Linked DNA regions of Saccharomyces cerevisiae S288C. The gene in region 1 interacts genetically with each later gene. Each region holds a gene or a part of one and is shown on either strand. Other genes may lie near its edges.

Region 1 (8,127 bases):
TTGAATTAACGAAAATGTACACGCAGGACAAATCAAAATTTGTAAAGGACGACAACTTTAAAGTGGATGAAAAATTTATAATGAGGATAATTGAACCGATAAACGGAGAAGAAATCAAAAAGGAAACAAATGAGCTAGACAAAAGAAATTCTACTTTAAAAGCTACGTACTTGACTACTCCAGAGGCTAATATAGGCTCACAAAAGCGCATAAAGAAATTTTCTGATTTTACTATTCTGCAAGTGATGGGTGAGGGTGCGTACGGTAAAGTCAATTTATGCATTCATAACAGAGAACACTATATCGTGGTCATCAAAATGATTTTCAAAGAGAGGATTTTAGTAGACACATGGGTGAGAGATAGAAAATTAGGTACTATACCTTCTGAGATCCAAATTATGGCGACCTTGAATAAAAATTCCCAAGAAAATATCTTGAAGTTATTAGATTTTTTTGAAGATGACGATTATTATTACATTGAAACACCGGTCCATGGAGAAACTGGTAGTATTGATCTATTTGATGTTATCGAATTCAAAAAAGATATGGTTGAACATGAAGCTAAACTGGTGTTTAAACAGGTAGTCGCTAGTATAAAGCATTTACATGACCAAGGAATTGTTCATAGAGACATAAAGGACGAAAATGTTATTGTTGATTCTCATGGCTTTGTAAAATTAATCGATTTCGGTTCGGCTGCCTATATCAAGAGTGGACCATTCGATGTTTTTGTGGGAACAATGGACTATGCTGCACCTGAAGTCCTTGGTGGTTCCTCTTACAAAGGTAAACCACAAGATATTTGGGCTCTTGGTGTGCTACTTTATACCATAATTTATAAAGAGAATCCTTATTACAACATTGATGAAATCTTGGAAGGTGAATTAAGGTTCGATAAATCGGAACATGTCAGTGAAGAATGCATCAGTTTGATAAAAAGAATTTTGACAAGAGAAGTTGATAAAAGACCTACTATTGATGAAATATATGAAGATAAATGGCTTAAAATCTAGTTTTCCGTACTCTCCAAGATAAAGGGAAAGAATAATTTAATCCATTTTCATAACCATTTACCTTCATAAATGTTCTATTCTTTTTTTGGCTATATATTAATTACATTTTTAATATCATATCATTGCTCTATATCCTTCTTGTCCAGCCTCTATGCAGTATTTTCTTTCATTCTATTTTGGGGCAAACTTCTGCGCTGAGCGGCTTATCGCCGTCGGAGTGACATCAAGTACCATAGAAAAGTCATCGTAGACTTACATATTTAGGCAAGAGAAATAGTTAGGTAAACAGAAAGAGGCACTAGCAGAACGTACTACGGTGTGGTTTATACAAGAGGGTTCTGTGAATAATGGCTGCAAGTGAGATAATGAACAATCTGCCTATGCATTCCCTCGATTCTTCTCTAAGGGATTTACTTAACGATGACTTATTCATTGAAAGTGATGAATCGACCAAGTCGGTAAATGATCAGAGGAGTGAAGTATTTCAAGAATGTGTGAACCTTTTCATAAAAAGAGATATCAAGGATTGCCTAGAAAAAATGTCTGAGGTTGGATTTATTGATATTACCGTTTTCAAGTCCAACCCTATGATATTAGATTTATTTGTCAGCGCCTGTGATATTATGCCCAGCTTTACCAAATTAGGTTTAACACTGCAGAGTGAGATTTTGAATATTTTCACGTTAGATACCCCTCAATGTATTGAGACAAGAAAAATTATTCTCGGTGACCTCAGTAAACTTTTGGTCATCAATAAATTCTTTCGATGCTGTATCAAGGTTATTCAGTTTAACTTAACTGATCACACCGAACAAGAAGAAAAAACTCTGGAGCTTGAATCCATAATGAGTGATTTCATTTTCGTATACATAACGAAAATGAGGACAACTATAGATGTAGTTGGCTTACAAGAATTAATCGAGATATTCATCTTTCAGGTGAAGGTAAAACTGCATCATAAAAAACCCTCACCGAATATGTATTGGGCGCTTTGCAAAACATTACCTAAGTTATCTCCAACCCTAAAGGGCCTTTACTTATCTAAAGATGTTTCCATAGAGGATGCTATTCTGAACTCAATAGATAATAAAATACAAAAAGATAAGGCGAAGTCTAAAGGTAAACAAAGAGGAGTGAAACAGAAAATACACCATTTTCACGAGCCTATGTTACACAATAGTAGTGAAGAACAGGTTAAGGTTGAGGATGCGTTTAATCAACGCACCTCTACTGATAGTAGACTCCAGAGTACTGGAACGGCGCCCCGTAAAAAAAACAATGATATTACTGTTCTGGCTGGTTCATTTTGGGCTGTCCTGAAGCATCATTTCACAAGAAGTGTGCTGAACAAAAACGGACTTCTGCTCACAGGTCTGCTGCTACTCTTATGTTTGAAAAAATATAAGTCATTGATGGCAATTTTCAAACATGTTCCAGCGGCCTTTCACACTGTATACCCCCAGATTGTAGGGTTGCTAAAACTTCTAGCGAGTATATGAGAAATATTTGAATAGTTTATAAAACCCTACCTACTTATTTTAATGACATACATAATGGTTTTTCATCTTTTTCCACAATGAATGGTGGTTCTATTTTTTCTTGTGTCTTTCTGTTGTAATTCCATTTGTAACCGTGTCCAACCAATGCGAATATACTTTCTCGATGTCTTCTTTGTCCTCCAATTGATGAAATTTGGAAGATTCGATTAGCTTCTCATTGCGAGCATTGCAGACATCGTTTGCTAGACATAAATCACACCTCTTACCCCTGGCCATGCAGATCAATTGACCAAATCCAACCAAAACGGTGTTTATTTCGTACCACAGTGAGTGAGGTAGCCAAACCTGTAACTCCTTTCTAGTATGCTCGGCAGTCTTACACTTAATAGGGTCTACCCAATTCCACATTTTACACAGCCTATGGACATGAACATCGACGCATATGCCGGCAATCAGCCCCCAACCTTTTTGCAGTGTTAAATATCCCATTTTAGGTCCAACTCCAGGTAACGAGAGAATTCCCTCTATATCATACGGTATATCTGAATCGAAATTGTCTACCAATAATTGTGCGGTTCTTTTGATGAAATTGGCTTTTCTGGTATAGAAGCTAACGCATCGAATTAGATTTGCTAATACAGGTTCATCAATTTTAAGCAGTCCATCTAGCGTAATACCCTCTGCTATTTTTAATGTGTTTAAGCAGTATTCGGTGATATTCAAAGCCGCTTGCGCCATCCTTTCGTCCCTCGTTTGAGCAGAAAGCATAGTGCCAATAAGAAATTGAAGCCTGAAATTCTTTGGATCGACTTTTTCACTAGGTATCCCACATTTATTAGAAACTAAAACAGGAATCATGCTACATCCCATAGCATCTACCGGGGTTTTAACCTTGGACCTCATTAATCTCACCCGATTATATATGGGTAAGAAACTCTCAGGAACTTTCGCCCCAGAATCGTTAATCATTTCTTCTTTAGTTATTGGCCGTCCCCAAGTTCTCGGATCATCACAAGTCCTTGATTCGATCCATTCAAAATACTCTATTGGCTTCAGTGCCTTGATCCAGTCAATATTTACTCCGCCGTAATTTTGCAAATCTTTATTGATTTTATTTTCTTTTACTAACTCAACAGTTCTCTCATTCTTTTTGAAATACTTAGATCGAACTTCTACCTCTTCAATATCAACAGGAATATGCTTTCTCTTCCTAGACCTACTTTCCTCTCTCATTATATACTGTGAAAGACGTTGTGCTTATACATTTTTTGTGTGCTCCCAATAAGCAACAGATTCAAAATGCTAAAGAGGTCCTTGCCTTCCTTCCTTTCTACTACATGTATATTCCCAAGTTAGGATAACTGCTTCACCAGCTGATTTTGATTTCTCGGCAACAAAACTAACAAATTAACCATGAGTTGTTTAATTGTTCCTGTTAGAGAAGAAAGGAGATCTACACAAACTAAGCTGGATAACGGCAAAAAAGAACATTGGAGAGAGATTTACTGCTCATACAAGTAACAATGTTTACTCGAAGGTTTATTCCAGTTGTTCAGTCAACTAAGCAAAACATCGGTAAATATGTGCGAAAAGATGCTAGGTTCACTTTATTAACATACAACATGCTCTCACCGTCATATATGTGGCCACAGGTATACACATACGTTGCAGAGCCATACAAAAACTGGAGTTATAGGCACAGACTGCTGGAGAAAGAACTTTTGAATACTTTCAAGGCTGATATTATGTGTCTCCAAGAAATGACCGCAAGAGATTATGAAGATTATTGGCACGATTCCATAGGGGTAGATGTCAATTATGGGTCCAAATTCATTTCCAAGACACCCCCAAAGTATTGGAAAAAACCGGTTAAAGATATGGACGGTGTATCTATTTTCTATAATCTTGCAAAATTTGACTTTATATCGTCATCAGGGATCTACTTAAACCAGCTACTGAATGTTTTCAATCAAAGGGAACTGAAATACTTATACAATAAGAAGGTAACATTAACCGATGGTGCTTCCAATGTTATTGGTGAAGACAGCTTATTGGATGTTTTAAAAGGCAAGAATCAGGTATGCTTATTCGTATCTCTAAGACATAAGGAGACGGGTACTATTTTTGTCGTTTTAAATACTCATTTGTATTGGAAATATGACGAAGTTAAGCTAACACAATGCATGATTATAATGAGAGAGTTATCAAAGATCATTAAGCAGCTCCTACCGGGAGATGTAAAAGGCCAAGAAAGGGTGAAGATTTTATTCACTGGTGATCTAAATTCTACAAGAGATTCGCTAGTTGTTAATTTTCTGCAAGGTCAGATAGTTAGCCATGGAGACCTTAATCTTATTAACCCAATGAGGCCGTATTTGGATCGTTGTGTCTATGACGATATACCAAAGGATTATTTTGTACATACGTGCTATTCAGGAAAATTGAAGGGCATCTTTGATTACGTATGGTACCATGATTCAGATTTTTTACTAACTAAGATCCTAACCGGTAATGAAGTATCAGACGAATTGCTAGCGTCTAATCAGTTGGGTTTACCCAATGAAAACCATCCTAGTGATCATATACCTCTACTAACAGAATTCAAAATACTGTGAGGCATTACTATCTTGCCTTTTTTGTGCTTTTTTTCTTCATTCCTTGTTTTATTTTATTTGTACCTCTCTTATAACCTTGTTATCATACTTTTTATTCATTTCAAATATTCTTTCCATTATTGCAGTATTCTTTAAGTAATATTCCGAACGTGTTCCATAATTTGGGTATGAATGTATTTATAGAAATATATAAAACGCATGATTTTTCTTTTTTATATGTATATTATACTATTAGAACTATGTAAAAAAATGCCAGCATGTATAGAGGAAGCTACAAGAGATAAGAAATAACTAGTAATAATATACAGTGTATCTCTAACAAAATTGATATTGTGTGAAAACTAATGAAACTATTTCTTGCTCTTTTCAGCTTGAGCTTTCTTGAATGCTATCGATCTTTTGGTAACCCTACCTGTAGCGGATCTTTGTTTCTTCTTTTTTAGATGGGTGGAACCTTCGCCTTTCTTTGCTCTTAAACCTTCGATAGTTATCTCTTGGCCCAAAGTGGCTCTATCAGCCTTACCTAAAATCTTTTTAGCTCTACCTGCTCTGGTTCTTTGTGAATCTGTCAACCCATTTCTATCCAAGCCGGTCCCAATAGTAGTACCCTTCTTCATGTTCTTACATCTGGAAACACGCAATTTTCTTGCCTTTTTAGTTGGTTTCTTTGTATTTTCGTCTTCTTGTTTTTGTGACTTCATAGGCTTTTCGTTCAATAAAAGTGCTTTGTTTACACTTTGTAAATCTTTAAATTGAACATAAGCAAATCCCTTACCCATATTTGTCTTTGAATCTCTGATAATACGGACATATTCAATATCGCCACATGGTTCAAAATGTTTCCAAAGACTTTCTTCTATTTCTTCAAAATCCAAGTTACCTACAAAGATTGAACGCTTCTTATCATGCGGAGCTGGATGAGCAACTGAATCAACTCTTAAGTGATGATCTTGGAAAACGACAGCATTCAAATTCGAGCAGATTTTTCTTACAGCAGACTTATTCTTATAGACGATGTAAGCGTTTATTGTATCCCTTGACTTATGAAATTTTTGTTGGACAAACGCAACTTTTCTAGGAAGAGCTTCATCAAAGGAAATAGATCTGAATCTTATGCTTTCAATGGCAAATTCGTTATTGTCACTTTTCTTAGAACTTTCCTCTTCTTTTTCATTACCAGATTCCTCAGTTTCTGCTATCGGATTTGTACCAAAAAGTTTTTTGAATTCTTTATAAACCTTTTTAGATGTGATGACAGTACTTAAGATGTTACCAATGAAAACAGTTCTTTCTGCCTTTTCTAACTCGTCTTCTTTGAAATCAACTTTCTTAGCTGCTGATGTCAGTGGTACTGAAGTTTCATCAGTTTTCGTTACTGTTGGTTTATCATCCTCAGCCTCAGCTTCTTCATTTAGTAGTTTCGCATAATAGCGGGCTTCTAAGTCTTCATCCTCGTCATTCCTTTTACTTTTTTTGGCCTTCTTTACTTTTGGAAGGGCAACTTCTTCAGTTTGCTCATCTGAAACATCAGGTTTGCTTGCTTCTTTTTCTTCTTGATCAGCTTCGGCAGCTCTTTCCCTTTTCTTCGAATCAGGAAGGACAGTACGTGTTTTGCTTTTGACTTCCAATTTATTAATAGGTCCACAGGATGAACTAAATAGCTTATCTACTGAAGATTCTATTTTTTTCTCATCAATGTTACCAAAGAGATTGTCAATTGCAGAGGACATTTTTCACTTTAAAATTTATAGCGTGATAATCTGGTGGATGATATGTCGACTGTTTTCTTAATAAAGTGCCTCAAGCTATCTACCTTCAATATAACAGTTTAAAATTTAGACAAGCAAAAAAAAATTGCGATGAGCTTGAAAAAATTTCGAAGTTCGTTTTAAGTGATCAATATATCAAAGAAAATAGAAAGTTGATGAAAGTAGTCCGTGACAGTAAATGAAGCACTTGAGTTGAGGTTTCACGTCCGCTTACAATATATATCATATATGAGGACGAACATTTACAGTAATGATGGAAGGCAATTTAAAAGCTGTCTGCGGAAACAAGTGCTATTGTTGCTTTCCGTGTACAACCCCCATTCACTTCATAAAAGAAATTAAACAAATATAATATAATAGATTATAATAATAATACCAATAAACAAAAATTTTATTTTCCTAATACCTAGACATTATATATAAAAAAGATACAAGGATGACTGCGATTCTGTTATTAGGGAGCTTATTTCAATGGGATGAAACGGGAAGTAGTAGCACCGGCTCTACCATGTCTGACTGGGGTGTAAGTAATGGAGAATTCACCCAAATAGTGACCCAACATTTCTGGTCTGATTTCAACTTGGTTGAAAGCCTTACCGTTGTAGATACCGACGACGGAACCGATCATTTCTGGAACAATGATCATGTTTCTCATGTGGGTTCTGACTGGAGCTGGCTTTTCATTTTCTGGGGCAGCCAACTTGGCAGCTCTCAACTTCTTCATGAAACCGGCTGGCTTGGAAGTCATACCACGGGCAAATCTTCTTCTAACTCTAGCTGGGGCCAACTTGACGAAATCTTCAGTGGACATTTCCAACAATTTTTCCAAATCGACACCTCTGTAAGAGTGGGTCTTAAAAACTCTCTTCTTGGCATTAACAGCTTGAGACATGATCGGTCGTGATTATCTTGTTGTGTACTTCTAGTTCGTCTTATTCTACAATGTAAGGATAAGCACTAACAAATAAGAAAAAAATGAAATCCAAGAACAAATAAAAGAAGAGACCATACCATAATGTGAAACTCTGCACAAAAGATTAAAAAGGAATAAATTGATTGCGGATAGGAAGGGCCAAGCAGACGATTACGGTGTTGTCTCGCAGCTTCCCAGCAAGGAGTTTCTCAGAGAACCTACTCCGAGTGAAACGGACGGAAGAGACCTTCCAAAGAGAAACGAAAATCGGTTCTAGGAGGACGCTCCCTCTAAGTGTCTAGGCCCGTGTTGGGCGGA
Region 2 (3,454 bases), on another chromosome or scaffold:
AGACACGGTTCTTGGCGTTGGACAAGTGCCTGCCAAGAAGACGTTGGTTAGAAATTCTGGAAATAGAACCGGATACATCGCATGCTTCGTGGAAGGACGAGAATCACCGTATGTTCTGGGATCCTGAATTTATCAATAATTTGGTAATTTGTCAAAAAAATAAGAATCTCCTAAGCAATAAACCGTTTAATAGCGTCAATTGGATAGAACTGTCTCAATCTAATAGAGAGGAAGGAAGGGATATTGATTGGGAAAATTATGCCATTCCTGCATACACCTTAGATATTCAGAAAGATGAAGTACGACAAACTAAAGCATTTATCTCTAAATTCATGACTTGAGAGATATTTCTATTACGAATGCAGACGGAATTAGAGCTTAAAGCCAAGCCTTCTTGAGAGAATTTTTAGTCATACACATGAATATATATATATTTTTTATATATTTACTAATTTGAACGATCCGAAATTAAAAAAAATATCAATTACTTTCCTCCATGCTTAAAATTTGAAAACTTGGTCCTTGGAGTAGCCCAAATTGTTCAAGATACCGATCAATTCACCTTGGTCCTTAGGTGACTTCTTCTCACCTGAGTAAGCGTTCATAAATGGTGGGGGACCGCAGACAAACAAATGTGTGCTTTCCTTTGGACCTGGAACATGCTCCTGAATAAAATCTTTGGAGATGAAACTAATTTCACCATCAAAGTCTTGGTCATCTTGCTTGTCGTCAACAAAGTAAGTAACATTGAACTTGTCAGGATACTTTTCCTTCAACGCATCCAGTTCCTTCCTTAGTAAAATGTCCTGAGGAGTCTTGTTCCCATATAGCAAGTTAACTTTGGTCTTGTCGTTTGGGTTTTCAACTATATGATGAGCTAATTGGTACAGAGGGTTGATACCGGTACCGGCACCTAACAAGGTGATTGACTTGAACTGATTAGGTTGCCACTTCCATTTCATAATAGGACCCTTGAAAGAAACGGTGTCATTTGGTTTAAGACCAAATAAATGTGAGGTCATTTTACCACCTTCATAATGCTTGACGACCAGCTGGAAGTGACCCTTCTGGGAAAGATCACTCACAGGAGTGTATGGTCTCACCACATTGGATCCCTTTGGTGTGACAAATTTAGCAAACAGAGCAGATGCTAGGACCAACCCCATTTCTGAGTCTTCGGTAGGCAGCTTAAAAGTAAACCTTCTGGTGTCGTGGGATTCCTCCTCTATTTTAGATATTGGCAAGTCGATCCATTTGTCATCACCTTTGAACACTTTATTAGATTCATTGAAGACAAAGGAATGTTGGTTACGGTTTGCAAAATAGAATGCGGTAGCAGCTGCTATAGCAACTGTACCTAGAGCAATCGGTAATGCTTTTGAGTGAGATCTGGATAATCTGGAAAACATGTTTTTGACTTGGAATATTATTTTAACCTATATACGTTATACTATTGTTAGTTTGGCTGCTTCAAAACGTTAGTATTGAGGGAAAAGGTAAGAGTACTTAACACAAGCGGGCATTGCGAGCAAACTGCATTCTTATATACGTACCTCTCTCGACAAGACACCAATCAAGGGCCCTTATTTCTCTTCTTTTTTCAAACGGAGAAACACTCCGAGCGATAGTTCCTACGCTTGTTTGGTCTTAGACCTTTGAAGTTTGAATTGTCAGGGGTAACAAGTTCCTTATACGATATAGGCGTCATAATGAGGGGGATAGTTTAGCATTGCGTGGAGGGATACTGAAGGTCATCGCAAATGAACCTAATTCATTCACCTATTGTTACCAGCTTGCATACTAGAAATGGACTCTTATGATCGTCAAAAGGAGCACACACCCACACACGACTCCTTTGCGCTGTAAAGGGCAGAATAGGGAGTGATGTGATGTGATGCGATGTGATGGGTCTTGCAACGTGATCTAGTAGATATATATGTAAAGGTGTAAATAGGTATATAGGCGTCGGTGAAATTTTATTAGCAACACCAGTTCAATACGATCACTACCGTATCACTGGAAATGTTAGCAGAATTGTCTCATAGAGAATTGATAAAGTTGGCGCAGAAAAGATGTATACCACCTTTATTGCCAAAGTTTCATAAGGGACAGTCTGGTGGGAGAGTTTGCATTATTGGAGGATGCGAAGATTATACAGGGGCACCGTATTTCAGCGCCAATGCTACAGCCTTGATGGGCTGTGATTTGACACATGTCATCTGCGAATACAACGCTGGTACGGTCATTAAATCGTACACCCCAAACCTAATGGTTCATCCATACCTTCGTATGAGTAACACCAAATTAGACGTTGATATGGACGAACAAAGGAAGAAAATCAATTCCTTATTGGATAGAATCCACGTTGTGGTAATTGGACCCGGCTTGGGTAGGGACCCCCTAATGTTAAAATCCATTAAGGATATCATAAGATATATACTTGAAAAACATGAGGGCAAGATCCCGTTAGTAATTGATGCTGATGGACTGTTCTTAGTAACTCAAGATAGCGAAGTCAAAGAAATGCTGAAAAGCTACCCCAAAGGTAGAGTGATCTTGACGCCCAATGTGGTAGAATTCAAAAGACTATGTGATGCCATAGGCAAGAAGGGAGACTCTCACTCCGAGATGGGCAGCTTGATCGCCCAGGAATTGAATTGTATTGTGGTGGAGAAAGGTCAGTCAGATAAGATATTCTCACCCGATAGTGAAAAAGACATGTTGACGAACAGCGAAGAGGGCAGCAACAAGAGGGTAGGAGGCCAAGGTGATACTTTGACAGGAGCTATATCATGCATGCTTGCATTTAGTCGTGCAATGTATGACTTTAAGATTTGTGAGCAGGAAGAAAAGGGAGAATCTTCTAACGATAAACCCTTGAAAAACTGGGTAGACTACGCTATGTTGAGTTGCTACGCAGGCTGCACAATTACACGAGAATGCTCCCGCCTAGGATTTAAGGCTAAGGGACGTGCAATGCAGACGACAGATCTAAATGACCGTGTCGGTGAAGTGTTCGCCAAACTTTTCGGTTAACACATGCAGTGATGCACGCGCGATGGTGCTAAGTTACATATATATATATATATATATATATATATATATATAGCCATAGTGATGTCTAAGTAACCTTTATGGTATATTTCTTAATGTGGAAAGATACTAGCGCGCGCACCCACACACAAGCTTCGTCTTTTCTTGAAGAAAAGAGGAAGCTCGCTAAATGGGATTCCACTTTCCGTTCCCTGCCAGCTGATGGAAAAAGGTTAGTGGAACGATGAAGAATAAAAAGAGAGATCCACTGAGGTGAAATTTCAGCTGACAGCGAGTTTCATGATCGTGATGAACAATGGTAACGAGTTGTGGCTGTTGCCAGGGAGGGTGGTTCTCAACTTTTAATGTATGGCCAAATCGCTACTTGGGTTTGTTATATAACAAAGAAGAAATAATGAAC

Evidence for each region.
Region 2: mutations in NTG2 (region 1) and MCR1 together harm fitness more than expected from each alone (negative genetic interaction), as found in Saccharomyces cerevisiae (one large-scale study listed by BioGRID).

What each region holds. Positions count from the first base shown.
Region 1 is NC_001147.6:245,790-253,916, forward strand, and holds NTG2 (bifunctional N-glycosylase/AP lyase NTG2), read right to left. Parts: upstream 3,746-8,127; coding exon 2,603-3,745; downstream 1-2,602. Other genes in the region: serine/threonine protein kinase PSK2, read left to right, coding at 1-1,013; PEX15 (Pex15p), read left to right, coding at 1,361-2,512; NGL1 (RNA exonuclease), read left to right, coding at 4,036-5,127; rRNA-processing protein NOP12, read right to left, coding at 5,478-6,857; 40S ribosomal protein uS19 RPS15, read right to left, coding at 7,360-7,788. UniProt on the Saccharomyces cerevisiae protein: Bifunctional DNA N-glycosylase with associated apurinic/apyrimidinic (AP) lyase function that catalyzes the first step in base excision repair (BER), the primary repair pathway for the repair of oxidative DNA damage.
Region 2 is NC_001143.9:164,499-167,952, reverse strand, and holds MCR1 (cytochrome-b5 reductase), read right to left. Parts: upstream 1,410-3,454; coding exon 501-1,409; downstream 1-500. Other genes in the region: DBR1 (RNA lariat debranching enzyme), read left to right, coding at 1-341; NNR2 (NADHX dehydratase), read left to right, coding at 2,023-3,036.